Linked DNA regions of Ovis aries. The protein of the gene in region 3 purifies or fractionates together with the protein of the main gene of each other region. This does not show direct contact. Links are inferred from orthologs where the notes say so. Each region holds a gene or a part of one and is shown on either strand. Other genes may lie near its edges. The genes, in order: UBL4A, BAG6 and GET3.

The links.
Region 1: the proteins of GET3 (region 3) and UBL4A purify together in Homo sapiens (affinity purification with mass spectrometry; 4 studies listed by BioGRID and IntAct, with this or other methods). This does not show direct contact. The link is inferred for Ovis aries from reciprocal best matches to the Homo sapiens genes GET3 and UBL4A.
Region 2: the proteins of GET3 (region 3) and BAG6 purify together in Homo sapiens (co-immunoprecipitation; 5 studies listed by BioGRID and IntAct, with this or other methods). This does not show direct contact. The link is inferred for Ovis aries from reciprocal best matches to the Homo sapiens genes GET3 and BAG6.

What each region holds. Positions count from the first base shown.
Region 1 is NC_056080.1:79,953,699-79,958,220, reverse strand, and holds UBL4A (ubiquitin-like protein 4A), read right to left. Parts: upstream 3,121-4,522; 5' UTR 3,078-3,120; coding exon 3,030-3,077; intron 2,877-3,029; coding exon 2,771-2,876; intron 2,470-2,770; coding exon 2,255-2,469; intron 2,147-2,254; coding exon 2,040-2,146; coding exon of another isoform or gene 2,036-2,039; exon of another isoform or gene 1,606-2,035; coding exon 1,482-1,605; 3' UTR 1,479-1,481; exon of another isoform or gene 590-1,478; coding exon of another isoform or gene 478-589; 3' UTR 424-477; downstream 1-423. Other genes in the region: SLC10A3 (P3 protein), read right to left, coding at 3,992-4,522. UniProt on the Homo sapiens protein: As part of a cytosolic protein quality control complex, the BAG6/BAT3 complex, maintains misfolded and hydrophobic patches-containing proteins in a soluble state and participates in their proper delivery to the endoplasmic reticulum or alternatively can promote their sorting to the proteasome where they undergo degradation.
Region 2 is NC_056073.1:26,725,852-26,730,703, reverse strand, and holds the start of BAG6 (large proline-rich protein BAG6), read right to left. Parts: upstream 3,242-4,852; 5' UTR 2,988-3,241; intron 2,983-2,987; exon of another isoform or gene 2,820-2,982; intron 2,759-2,819; exon of another isoform or gene 2,471-2,758; intron 2,343-2,470; 5' UTR 2,330-2,342; coding exon 2,222-2,329; intron 1,207-2,221; coding exon 1,089-1,206; intron 976-1,088; coding exon 779-975; intron 542-778; coding exon 488-541; intron 326-487; coding exon 251-325; intron 1-250. Other genes in the region: APOM (apolipoprotein M), read left to right, coding at 3,688-4,051. UniProt on the Homo sapiens protein: ATP-independent molecular chaperone preventing the aggregation of misfolded and hydrophobic patches-containing proteins.
Region 3 is NC_056058.1:11,077,273-11,081,964, forward strand, and holds the start of GET3 (ATPase GET3), read right to left. Parts: upstream 3,064-4,692; 5' UTR 3,050-3,063; coding exon 2,889-3,049; intron 2,040-2,888; coding exon 1,892-2,039; intron 1-1,891.

The DNA.
Region 1 (4,522 bases), on a different chromosome or scaffold from region 3:
CCAGTGCTCTCCCCTTTCTTCGGTCATGCTCTCTGGGAAGTAATTTCATGCATCCTCGCAGTGTCTGGGACATTGTGTCCACAGGCCCTCCGGAATGTCGTGGAAAACTGCACAGGGCCGCGGAATCAGCCTGTCGGGCCTGTCAGCAAGGCACCTACTATACACCTGGGAGACACCACTCCTGTCTCCATGGGCAGCCTGAGCTCCCCGATGACTTTCTGCACCCAGCAGATGGCTCCTAGCTACCACAGGGTCATCACCTCCCAGTCGGGAGGCACACAAGACTCACCAGCTGTCTCTTGTGTCTGTCAACAAGACCCGTCTGCACGCGTCAGCTCTCCCCGAGGACCCGGCCTTCCTGAGAGTTGCCCTCTCCCTTCCACAGCCCACCCAAGCCCCTGATAAAATGATGGAGGCACCCGGTTCTAAGCATCCAAAAGGGACAGCGTTTATTTGTTGGGGCAGCTGAGGAGGAAGCTACGCTAGAGGACGGGAAGGTGCTCCGTGCTGGCTGTGACCGAGGGGTTCGGTGGAAGCTGCAGGCAGCCATCTTCTGATCCTGAGGTAGAGGCCTGGGATGAAGCAGACACTGCAGAGTGCAGAGGGGAGGTAGGAAGAAACTGGGTATTTGGGGAAATCATTTATCTGCTGCCAATACCCCTGGACTTCTCAGTTTCGCAAACCAATACCTTCTCTTTATTGCTTAAACCTATGTCCTGTAATGGTTAAATCAACGATGGGGAAACCAAAAGCAGTTCAACTAATAGAGTTCCTTTCAGGTCAAAGTCTCACATGCACCTCTAGTGTGACTGAGAAGGTCAATATAAAATTTCCTGACTACAAAGAAATGAGAGCGTAGGGAAGTCTATCACATGAACCTTGTGGCAGTGCATGCCCAGCTCCTGGGTGGAGCCATGGACTTCCACCTGCTCTTCAAAGCCTTTGGCCCTCGAGCCACTGTCTGTCCTCCCCACCTGGGGACCCAGCACTTACCCTATGAGGCTCAGGCCGGAGAGTGGCCCAGGTGCCCTCCTCTGAGGAGCAGGTGCCTAGACGATCTCTACGACCCACCCCCCAGCTTCTGCCCCCACCCAGGTTCCCTCTCAGACAGTGAGTGGTGTGCACAGTGGGAGGCCCTGTCCACATGTGGCAGAGGATGGGCAAAGGGTACAGGGGCCTGCTCGAGTCACCTCGAGACCATCACCTGTCATCTCTAAAGGTCATGGACCGCTTGTGTCTGGGAGGAGAAAAGAAGGGGGTGCCCAGAGAAAATCTGTGACACTAAGGGCCAGGACATTCCGTCTCTGGGCCACGCTTGGCCATCACTCAGAATTTGGCCTCAGTTTGTATCTGGGACACAGGAGTAGGATGCCTACAGACTCCTGACCCCAGGCTTTGGAGCTAAAGAAAACTAAGAGAGTCTCAAGAACAGCCCTCACTGAGCAGAGTTGAAGGCTGGGGACCAACGTGGCACCTACGTGTCACTCCCCAGAGTCGGGTGACATCCTAGACTCCCCAGCCCGCCTTCCGTTTGAGTGCATACTGGTTGCAGTCACTAAGGGGGCCCAAGGCTGGCCATCACCTGACCTCTTGCCAATGCCGGACCTGTCAAGGATGAGGTGACAGAACTGGGCATCAGGGGCTAGCTGCTTCCCCTTCCAGGCCTGGAAAAGGTATTGCTCGAGGGTTTCTCCTCAGTGGGCTAAACCTGGAATGTCCATGGCCACCCCTCAGAACCCGTCTGAACGACCCTTTTCTCCTTCTCACCCTGAAGTACTTCTGGAAGCTGGCTGGACTCAGAATCTGGCTCCTTGCCTTCTCCGCTAGGAGCCTCGGCTGTCTCACCTTTTGTGCAACATGTGGGAGCCAACCTGGGTCAAGAGCTTTGAGTGGGGCCTGGCACCTAACATGAGCCAGATACAGGTACCCGAGTACCCGCCAGGCAGTATTATGAGCCAAGTTGCAATACAAGAAGACATTTAATGCTACATGCAGCTTGTGGCCTGGCCAGGCTCCTCCCCACACTCCGAGAATCCTACTTGGAGAACCCCTTCTCCATAGCTTCAGTCGCTTCGGGGTGCAGGAAGCGGCCAGCCAAACGTTCAATGTCATCCAGCGTCAGGCGGCTCAGGGACCGCTCATAATCCTGAAGAGAGAAAGCCAGAAGGATTCAGGGGTGTGGCTTGGGGCGGGGGGGCCCGCTGGGACAGAGGCAGGTGGGCAGGATGCAGAGGTCCTGGGCCACGCTTCTCACCCTCTGGAGTTGATCCAGGACTCTGCTGGCATCGGCGGCGCTGAAGTGCTGGGCCAGGATTCTGGAAATGAGCGGCCAGGCGGCGGGCGGTGGGGCTGGGGCCTCGGCCGTTTTCCGCGCAGTGCTTTCTTCCAGCAACACCTTCTCCAGAGGTTTGACCACTAGGTTGAGCTTGGAATTCGGCCCGATGCTGTAATCGGAGAGTCTTTTCCCATCTGTCCGAAAGAGAGAGGGAGAGGGAGAGAGGGAGAGAGGGAGAGAGGGAGAGAGGGAGAGAGGGAGAGAGGGAGAGAGGGAGAGAGGGAGAGAGGGAGAGAGGGAGAGAGGGAGAGAGGGAGAGAGGGTCGCACTGACCCTCGGAGAGCCTAGGCGAAGCGCAGCGGTGAACTCCCGGGATGGGGGTGGGGGTCACCTAGCCAGAGCCCCCTCCACCTACACTGCTGCCCGGGCCTGGGCTGGACGCCCCGTCCCCTGGCTTCCCGCGGGTCTCCCCCAGCGTCCCCTCTTCCTGGTTACCTGCCAGGGCCTTGCCCTTGAACAGCAGCCGCTGTTGGCGGACGGGGATGTTCAGCTTTTCGGAGACCAGATGTTTCAGCGTGGACACCAGCTCGTCCTCCGACACCTGTCCCGGCCGAGAAAGGTGGGCGGGGGGTGAAGCCGCGGCCCGCGCGGAGGGTGGCTCTCCCGAGGCGGCTAGCCCGCCGGGTCCGTCCCTTCCCGCGGCTCGATCCCGCACCCGCGGGGCTGACCGCGCAACCCAGCCCGGCGATGCTACCTGAAGGCTGCACTCGCGGCCCTGGAGTGCCTTCACCGTCAGCTGCATGGCGGCCGCCGAGGCGTCCACTCGGGCCGGCGCGCACCCCAACGGTCCGCCGCCGCGCGCCGCCGCCCCGGGCGCGCGCCGGAACCGCCCGCCGCCGCCGGAAGCATCGCGAGGGGCGAGCCGGGCATCGCGGCCCCGCCCCGCCGGCCCCTCCCCCCACAACCTGGACTGTCCTCCGCGGAGCCCGGGGCGACGGAGCCCAGAAGCCCGCGGAGAGTGGAAAAGGGTGGCGGGACCAGTCGGGCTCGCTCGAAGGAGTTGGGGAGCTGGGCCCGGGGAGACGGCGGGCCGGGAGTTCGCGCGCCACCGCCCGTGGGCAGAGCAGGTCAACGCTGATGCCCATCCCATCCCCTGCCTCTCAGGAGCCTGCAGAAGACCCGGCCCCGCCGAGCTCGTTTCACCACCCGCCGGCCTCTTTTTTACTTCACCTGTGGAAAAGCAACTGAGCTTGGGATCTGGTGGGGGAGTCAGGCCTCTGCCCTTCCCACTGCTTCTTCTAGAACAGATACACAGCTCTCAGAGGTGATGCAGGGGCGAGGAAGGCTAAATCTGGCCAGAGGTCACTGTGTCGCCAAGCCAGCCCTCCATCCTGGCCCACACCTACCTGGCCACACCACGCCCTTCCTTCCCCGACCCGCAGGCCTCAGAGGGCAAAGACAGCATGATACCCAAGCTTGCTTCTGTTTTATTGAAATATATTTTCTGGGCAGTGCCCGCTTACAGAACTCAGCATGGCCTCTTTGGCACTGAAAGCTGGAGAATAAAAAACGAGTAAAAAAAATAAGCCTGGATTTTTTTTTTTTTCTGAGTGCATAGTGCATGAGAACTAAAGGCCTTTGGTACACAAGAATGGTGGGGACAGTTGATGGAGGTTGGGGGCTGGGGGTGCCTGGTGAAAGCTTGACCCGGGGGCCTCAGGGAACGGTGCACACGCTGCTATAGATAAAGTGGCCAATTACTAAGGCCAGCATCTCCGAGGTGCCACTAAGTGCCACAAGGAAAGGGGCCTGGGAGGCATAGTCAGCCTGGAGGCGGCGGAGGGACAGCTGCAGCATGGCCAAGGCCAGAAGGCTGTTCTGCACCCCAACCTCGATGCTGACAGTCCGCCGCTGGGCCACTGGCAGATTCAGGCATGTGGCCAGGCCGTAGCCCACCAGGAGGCCGACCAGGGGCACTGTGAAGCCCACCAACACGATGGGCAGCCTGACGCCTGCCAGGATGAAGACCCCCATGCGGTAGGCCAGGAAGAGGCCACCCAGGAGCAGCACAAAGCTGAAGGGCTTGATGACATGCAGCAGCAGCTGCGAGAACTTGGGGAGCTTGGACTTGATTACCACGCCTGCTGCAATGGGGATGGCAATGAACAGCAGGGTCCCCAGGATCTTGGAAACAGGCACATGGAGTGTTTCATGGATGCTGAGCAGGCGACTGTAGATGGCTGAGGA
Region 2 (4,852 bases), on a different chromosome or scaffold from region 3:
TCCCAGCATCAAATATGACAATCAAGGAACAGGAAGGCAAGGAATCCTTCTTTAATTGCAAAGAGAATCAGCAGGGACAGGACAGCCTCAAAAGAAAGATACTTTTTCTGCCCAAAAGAGCACACACTGCAGAAAAGAGATTAGATTAAGAGGGGAGAACCCAGTGGATGTGACCAGTCATCCCTAGGCTGAGACAAAAGGGGTAGGGAGGATAGAGTGAGACAGGCAGTGGCCAGCCTTGCCCACTCACCTCCATCCGGGAGAGTAAGGTCTGTATATCCCTGATCATATGCTGAGCCATCACCAGCCGTACTCGGGGCTCACTCTACAATGAGAGAGAAAATCAGGTCAGGCTGGAGACAAAGCCACAAGCTCCATTACCTACTAAACCAGGACCCAGCCCCATCTCTTCAGCCAGACCCATCCCCCACTTTGTGGCCTCCTTCTCCCAGATCCCCTTCCTTGACCCTCCCAGGCCCTGTGATACCTGAATTGGGGCCTGTTCCATGTTGATGTGAACATCCACAGCAGAGCCGTCACTCTGAGGAAAGGGTAAGGGAAGTTGCTCTGGGAGAAGCCAAATACTAAGGCCCCCACGCTTCCAACTGATTCTCTGGTGCCCGACCCCTCTAGATTATCAAAGACAGAGGCTGTTACCAGACCAGAGAGCCCACCAAAGCCCTTCTAAAGACTGACACACCTCTCTTATGAACTCTTGGCTGCTACCACAACCAAAACTGACCCCACAAAAACCCTCCCGTGAGGAACACAAGCTTACGGGAAGATTGAAGGTTCCAACCATGACATAGCTGTTGGCATTCCGGTCATGAACAGAGGCCCCAGGCCCCCGAGTACCAGGCGTGGGTCCCCCACCATGGGTGGCTGAGGTGGACCCTGTTCCAGAAGATGCTCCAGAAGGGAGCTGAGTCTGAGGAGGAGCCCGTTCCACAAGGTGAATAACCTTTCCCCCAACATCTGCAGAAAAAAGATACACACCAAAACATTACATGATCAGGGAAACCCTTGGCCTCAGCTCACTGCTCTGGACAGCAGCCTCAAGCTCTGCTCTGCCTCCCCCACCCCCTTACTGTATTCTTGGAGCTTCTTATCATCCTGCAGAACTCGTCCCTGGTAGATAAGCCGTTGTTTCTCAGATGGGATGCTAACAGAAGCAGCAATATGTTCCTTAAACTCCTTTACGTTCATCTGTAGGGAAGAAGAAACATGACGAGGAATCGGGGGTGGAAGAAAAAGGACAGAAGGGGGACAGCTGACTTGTAAGGGGTAAAAACCATCCCATCCTAAAATTACTACCCACCTGTCTTAATTGTGAGGTAATTATTGAGCAAAGCCCTGAACTAGGGCAACACTTGTCAAAATACATACAATAAACGTAACGAACTTCAGGTACAGGCCCAGGAGAAAACTACAGGGCTGAAGACCAGAAACACCAACTGACATTCTCTTCTCTCCCTCTCTGCCTGGCTCCAAAAGGAATGTGTGTGCCTAGAGATACCGGTGACCCCTCCACAAACACAAAATGATACAACACTGTAACCTTAAAGATAAAAGCAATGACAAAGAAGATGCGGTAGAGAATCAGGTTAAGGAAGGCAGACTCAAGCAAGAAGAAAAAGGGGCAAAGTCAGAAAAATATTTTTCCTAACTAGACAACTGACTTGTGAGAAGTATCCAGCTGTTTACAAACACCTAATCACAAAAGCCTACACAGTCTCATTAAATACACGAAACAATGTGTTTAAAACTATGGATCAACCTCCTTACGGTTTTGTCTATTAAGGATCTACCTGCATTATGAGCATTATGGGATCCGACTCCTATCCTTTAAAAACACAGCATAGACCTCATCAGTTTTTAAGACACTCTTCTACTTTAGGTCCTAGTGTTCTGTTTGCCTTCCCAAAGGCAGGAGCCACATCTGTCCCTTTGGGCTGGGGTTCATCTATCATGTTGGCATACAGATTCCTCCTTCTTTCTTTCCCTCTGCATTGAGTTTTATCGAGGTGGAGGAAGGCAAAGAAAATCTACCTCACCCAACAAAAGCCAAAGAGGAAACATCAGAAAATGTTCTGGATACAACATGAACAAAAGAACCAATGAGAGAAAATTTGAAAACCATAATATCAGGCTCTTCTTTCAGTACAAAGAACCTGTAAGAGGAAGAGTTAATGAGTGTCTCCCAGAAGTACTGGGGTCTCACCTGGGCCCCCACAATAAAGGTCCGGGTCTGAGAGTCCAGGGTCTTCACCAGCACCTCCAGGCTGTCAGGATCCTCCATAGTGGTACTGGTACTATCACTGGGCTCCATGGCCGACAGCTCTCTAAGGAAGAATGTTAGGAGGAGGCCCGCTGTCGCCTAGAGCAGATTTTTATATACCCGGAAGCCTCCCCTGCCCGAGACTCCGCCCCATGCCTAAAGAGTTTCTCCCACACAAGCACACACACTCACACCCGCCCCCATCCCCCTTCTGATTCCGGGGCACAGGGAGAGAAACACAAAGGGTAAGAGATCGACGGCACGGGGAGCTGGAGGGCGGCAGGTGGGAGGGGCTCAACGACGCCAATCACAGTAAGGGAGGGCCAGAAGAGCTAGGAAGACGGGAAGGAAGGAAACACGAGACCGGTGTCATCACCGGTCGCGGTAGGACAAGGGCTCGAGAAGTCGGCAAACCCAGGGGACAACCAGAGAGCGAGGGTCGCGCTAGACTCTGCGGAGAAAGTGGTTTCGCGCACGCGCGCCACGCCACGCCCATCGAACCCGCTTAAGTCACTAGAGACCCGAAATGACGAACACTCACGGGGGGCTAGATCGGCGAGCTGTCTCCCTCTTCCACGTACCCTCGGTGTTCTATCAGAAAGGCACAACCAACACACTCCAAACACATACACACACTCCAAACACACACACACACACACATACACACACACCCTACCACCCAGCTCCGCCCCCGACTTCCCCACGGTACCGTCACTTCCGGTCTCCCCCAACCTGCCACCGACGGCCACTTCCGTTTCCCCGATAGTATTTGGGGATCGCGAGGCGGTACTTCCGGCTCCCCCCAGGTCCCCAAGCTTTACTTTTGTGGGGCTTTTCCAGAAAGTCCGCGGCCCCAAATAGTGAGTTCCTGGGGGCGAGACGGGCCGGGGCCGGCCTAGATGGGAGGGAGCCGAGCACCCCGAAGAGCCGCCGCCACCGCCGTCGCCCGGGGGACCGTACTGCGCCTGCGTGCGTCCTACTACGCATGCGTGCACCCTTAGGCACCTCCCCACCACAGCTGGCGCTGTTCAGTTCTCCCCTGCGCGCGCTTAAGCAATAGGGGGGTTGTGGTGGCCGCTATAAATGCCTGATAAAAAACACGAGATGGGACTCTTCCACTGCCTCGAAAGAGGCTTTGAGCCGTTGTGTGGATCTTGGAGTCTGGAGGCTGGGGATTGTGCCTCGCAAATCTATGCTGAAGTCTTGGTCGGCAGAGAATTTGAGGCGGCACTGTCCAGGCCACCTAGAATCCTGTCTTCTCTTACCATCGTCCTCGTTGAGCCACTCCTTCGGCGTCTCCGGAAGTCACCCTTTCCATAGGCGGTTGGAGGTGGTTCTCGAGCTGATTTACGTGCGGTGGCGTCGTTGGGCCTGACCTCGGTTTTGCCCGGTGGGCGTTTTGTGGCGCCATGTTCTTCCCCGGCGGTTGCGGCCGAGGGCACACGCCATGTTTTGGAGAAACCAAGGATTTAGGACCTTTCAGGACTTTTATCTTAAAAAGGACGACTCCGAGTTTGGGAATTGGAAACATGGGGTCAGACTGGAGTGAAACACAAGACTCTGACCCTGGGGGATTGAGAGGGCCGCCTAAGGGCTTCTACAGGTGGAAGGTCCGGTATAGTTACCGTCCCTCTGCCCTCTTCTCCCCCCGCCCCTCGGGCAAGGGCCTGGGCCCCTCAGTGCTGCCACTCCTCCAGCCAGAGCCGTTGCTGCCGGTGTACCTGCCTCCGGTGCCTGTCCTTTCTGGGATTTGTAGCTTCTACTTAAGTCCCGGTACTGAAAGTTTTAATAAGCACATGTATAGTGAGCCCCTAGTTGGTGCCAGCCGGTTTGCTGAGGGTTTCACATACTGTCACATTTAATAGCCTTTCAACATCTATTACATCCCTTTATATAGGTGCATGTAAGTGGCAGAACTGACAAATCAGGCCTACCAGACTCCCTTGGGTCAAGCACTTCTATTTTACTGCCCCAATAGCTTGCATTTTAGTTTTTTGTTAAAAAATATAATGAACCCTCAGCTATTCATCACCCAAATTTTATTCCTTTAGCTAAATCGCAAGCGCAGAGCAAGCCTCACCTCTCAGAACAAATCTTTATGGCAGCCTGTGGGTTATAAATAATCCAGGAAGTACCATCTTCTTGGCAGTACCCAATGATTGCCTCTTGACAATTCTTTGCCTACTTCCTATTACTTGAGAACATAATACCCACGAGAGACTAATAAGTGCTTTACAAACATTGCTATTAATTATAGGGAATATTTACTTTGGATTTATGTGCAGGCCTTTGCTAAGGGCTTCATATGCCTTAGCTCTTCTAATCCTATGAGATTGATGATTTGCTCATTTTATACATGAGAAAACAGGCAAGATTAATAAAATTGTCCAAAGTAAGGGTTTGGACCCACCCTGCTTGACACCACTGTCTATACTCTAACCACTAGATTCTGTAGCTTCTTGCAGTAATAAACATTAAGTGAATGAACTCGTGTGTCAGCAGACTTTTCTGGACGGTGTGCATAGTTTCTCCAGTGAACAACTTGAGAGAGAAAGCCTCCCATCCACATACTTC
Region 3 (4,692 bases):
GGCCACCAACACCCTCATTTCACCCTAGAAAATGCCCCAGTCCTTCCTTCCAAGTCCCTGGTCCTGGCACCACAGCCCAAGTCCTGGGTCTGTGCACTGGAGCAAGCAGTTGCCCACCTGAGTCCCTTCCTCGGCTGGCATCCTTATTCCCTCCTGTAGCATCACTTGTCCCTTCCAGTTGAAGCTTTTTTTTTTTTTTTTTTTTTGGCCACACTGATCAGCTTCTGGGACCTTAGTTCCCAAATCAGGGGTTGAACCTGATCCTCAGTAAAGAGAGACCCCAGAGTTCTAACCACTGGACTGCCAGAGAATTCTCTGAAGCATTCGCATCAGCAAACACAGGTGCTCTTAAAATCTCCTTTCTCAGAAAAGCCTTCCTTAACTCTCATTCCCATTCCCCTCCAGAGATGGCCACGCTCATTTCTCTGCTCCCATCATGGTGATCCCTGTCTCCACTGTGGTTCACCCACTCCAGGCAGGCTTTTGCGCCCATTCCCAGGGTGATCTGCTTAAAACGGATGTGCCTGCCAGAGCCAACAATCTTTCTGCCCAAGTCCCTTTGTCCTCCTCGAGTTTAGGAGCCCATACTATCCTGCTTCCCTCCCACCTCACCTGGGGCTCCTCCTTGGCCTCTTTCACTGATTCTTCCTCTTCCCCTGCTGGACCCTAAATGTTGATATGCCCCTAGAGTTGTTTCTGAGCCTCTCTATTCTCTCACTCTTTCCTCCATTCACACAGCTTTAAATAAATATCACTCTTGGGACAATGACTCTCAATGCCAACCTCTTCCTCTAGGCTCATATAACTAAGCCACTGCTCTGATGTCTCCATTTGGATGACCAATGGGCACCTTGGTCTCACTAAGCCAAATAAAATTCCCCATTTTTGCCTTCTACACCTGCTCCTCTCCCAGTCTTCTCCATCTCAGTTGCCCAGGGAGTCAACTAAGAGATGTACTGAATTCATTTCTTTTCCTCATGCATTATAACCAAGCAGTCAAATTGCTTTAATTCCAAAATACATCCCAGGGATTTCCCTGGTGGTCCAGTGGTTAAGAATCTGCCTTCCAATGCAGGGGATGCAGACGCAATCCCCGGTCAGGGAACTAAGATCCCAGTGCCATGGGGCAACTAACCCCACATACTGCGACAGAAGCCCCTGTGTACGACAATGAAGACCCATCGAAGCCAAACTAATGAAAATAAATCCCAAATTTTACCACTTTCACCTCCCTCCCCACCAAGTTTTGGCTGCCACCATTTCTAGCCTGGGCACTGTCCCAGCTCTCTTTGCTTCCATTCTTGACTTTATAGTCCAATCTCTCCATGAAAGCTACAGGGAACTTTTTGAAAAATGATGTGTCCCATGACACTATTCTGCTTAAAACAAACAGGTTCCCATTAAACTTGGAATCAGGGACTTTCCTAGTGGTCCAGTGCCTAAGACTCCACCCTCCCAATGCAGGGGACCTGTATTCAACACCTGGTTGGGAAACTAGATCCCACATGCTGCAACTAAAGATTCTGTGTACTGCAACTAAGACCCAGCACTAAGGTGCAGAGCAACCAAATACATAATAAAAATAAATACAAAAATATATATAAATTTGGAAACAAAGCTTTACTCCCAGTGGCCTGCTAGGTCCTATTATTGATGTCTCCCTCCCCTCCCCTTGCTCACTCCAGCTACTCTGGTTTCCTTTCTGATCCACAAACGTCTCTCACCCAGTCCCCTATGGGTATGCTGAAGAGGAGAAAGTGGAAAGACAAGAGGCTGGAGAACCTGCAGGACCTGGTAGCTAATGGTGGGTGTTCACAGGAAAGGCCTGAAGGTGCCTTTGACAGAGTTGGGGGGTGGGGCGTGGGGTAGGCCTGAGCCCTATTGCACTCACCATGGCAAAGAGGTTGTCATAGCCTTTGACCTTGGTAGGCACCTTGGAGAACTTCTGGTCAAATGCATCGGAGATGTTGTGGGCTGGGTCGGTGGAGATGATTAGAACACTCTCCCGCCCCTTGGACAGCTGGACTGCTAGGCTGCAGCTGGGCAAAAGAAAGGTCAAAAGGTTGGGGGGGGGGTGAAGAGTCAGGCTCTGCTCCCTAGGTCTGCAAGGGGGAGATGAAGGGTCGCAGGAGCAGGGGACCTGGATCAGTAAGGGCCTTGAGAGAAGAGTATGGAGGACTGTGGGATCAGGCCTCAATCTCTGCAGTGGGACCCTCTCAGATCTCACCTACTGAACCTTCCACCTGGCTAAAGTGGTAAGATTCGGCTAAGTTTGTCAGTCTGGTGTGATGCCTGCTTCTTCGCTGGCACAGAGTGGCATCACGATCCGGCTGTCCAGTCAGCACAGCCTGACCCTGTGTCCGCTCCCTCAACGCTAAGCTAAGGGGTCCTTTGCACCTCTTGCTAAACTCGGTGGTTCGGTCCATTTGTCCAGGGTGATCTGCCCGGGGGATCCCTCCTCCTCCTCCCAGCTGACTGGGATAGCCTGATCATGTGCTCTCCCTCCCGCCTTCCACCCCCACGTGGGCAGAGAACGACAAGGTCCACCAGATTAGGATAGTTCGCTCAGGTGCCCCTCCCCTTCTCTGGGCACACTCTGGTACAGTCTACCTGATGGGGACATCTAAGTGCTCTCCCGGACCCCGTGCGCTGGATTCAACGTGGTTCAGCCCTTGAGCCCCAACAGGGATGGTCCAGTTCAGAGGGTGCCCGGCCGGCTTTCAGGAGGTATCTTCCACTTGCTCCAGATAACTTCTGGAGAGTACAATCCAGAAGACCCCGCCCCAGCCCTCTCGCCCGGCTGGTGCTGGAAGACCCGGTCTTTCGCCTCCCCTTCACCCTGTGGTACATCCCACCCGTTTTCCCGGCCCCCACCGCAGCCTCTTTACCTGCAGGTCGTCTTGCCAACTCCACCTTTGCCCCCAACGAAGATCCACTTAAGGCTGCGCTGCTCGATGATGTTGCTAAGCGTGGGCTCCAGCGGCTCCACATCAGGGGCATCCTCGAACTCCTCTGCCTCAACCCCCCACCCGGCCACCCCTGCCGCCATCTTGGAACCGGCTCACGTGATCAAGAGGAGCGCACCATGCAAAGCACCTGCAGGGGAAATTTCCTATCATATCCCCATCAAGGCTAGAAGGTTGAACTGATTTTCTCATAGCTTAACTTCTAGGAGCTAATAGAAGCTATATGTCCAATGTCTTCCCTTCCAAGCTTCATCATGTCAGCCTCTTGTCTACATTTTCTTCAAAGCGTCCCCCTGTCTAATTAATGCATTGGTACATCCCAGGATACTCCCCTTTACTGATTGGCCTTTAAGTCTAGCAGCACTCCTCTCATTGGCTACATCTTTTCTTACTTTCACCAATCACTCTCACGTCCCGGTAGCACCAACCTTCCCTTAGCAACCGACCAAACACCCATTCCATACCCTTTTCAAGAAGTTAGTTCCGAGGTCCACCCTGACCTGACTCCATAGGCTCAACTTCTTGTCGATCATTTCCCGCCCCTATTCTCCGAACTAGGTCCCAGCACCCCTCAGGTCCGTCTCTTCTGTTATTCAATTGGCTGGGAGCCATCGGGCTCCTGACGCAAACCAATCACAGACGAACCGATTAGTTTGCTGGAGACAGTTTCGGCGCTGCGAGTGGGTTAGAGAGAGAATTACTCCAGTTGGGGGCGAGGTCCGCAGATCCTTGTCCAGTGAGCCCTGAGCTCCTTTGCGGGCTTGCATCCTTGTTGTAGAAGGCACCCGATTCCCCAAAACCTGCTTCCACTTTACCCCAGGTTCGAAGGGAAACTTCAGTTCAGCCAATTCTGTTTGAAACTCTGCCCTGGGCAGGAATACATGCTTGGTCGCAGGCCCTTTTGAGGACACTATACCTTAGTTGGAGGCTCCAACCTAGAACTATCCGTGGCTTCATTTCGGTACTCTAGCACATAAAGAACTTCACAATCACTTTTCACTTTCATGCATTGGAGAAGGAAATGGCAACCCACTCCAGTGTTCTTGCGTGGAGAATCTCAGGGATGGGGGAGACTGGTGGGCTTCCGTCTATGCGGTCGCACAGAGTCGGACACAACTGAAGCGACTTAGCAGCAGCAGCACATAAAGTAATACCTTGATTTGCAGATATGAACCTCTCAGCTCCTTGGAGTGAGCTGTGTCTCTATTTCCAAATGAAAGCTCCATCCCAGAGATAGGTACCTAATCCAGAGACACCCCCATTTCTGTTCTCGGGGACCAGGCTAGATATGCCCTCTGGCTAGTTTTAGTTAGGGACCCAGGTTCCGAGGTTATCAGCTGAGCACACAGCCAAGCAACGTCTCTCCCCTCACTGAGATTATCCCTGGTGTCAGAAGGAGATTCTAGCCCCGAAAAGCTAGTACACCACCGAGTCCCACGCGGGAACCGCACTCCGAGAGCCAGCTACACACTCAGAACCAAACAATAGTCTCATTCCGGAAGAGACCATCTTTGCGTAACGCCAGCAGGAGCCTAGCAGGGTTATGATGTTCCGCCGGACCCGGCAGGGCGGGCCGGGGCAGCTGGTTGAGGGCGCGCAGCGTCAGGCCTTATTCCTCATTCGCCCCGCCCCTCATGCCCCGCCCCCACTGCGGTCGTCTAAGCACCAGACTGGTCTTCCCGGCATGCATTGCCCGGGACCAGGCTTCTCGGGCGCCAAGCGCGGG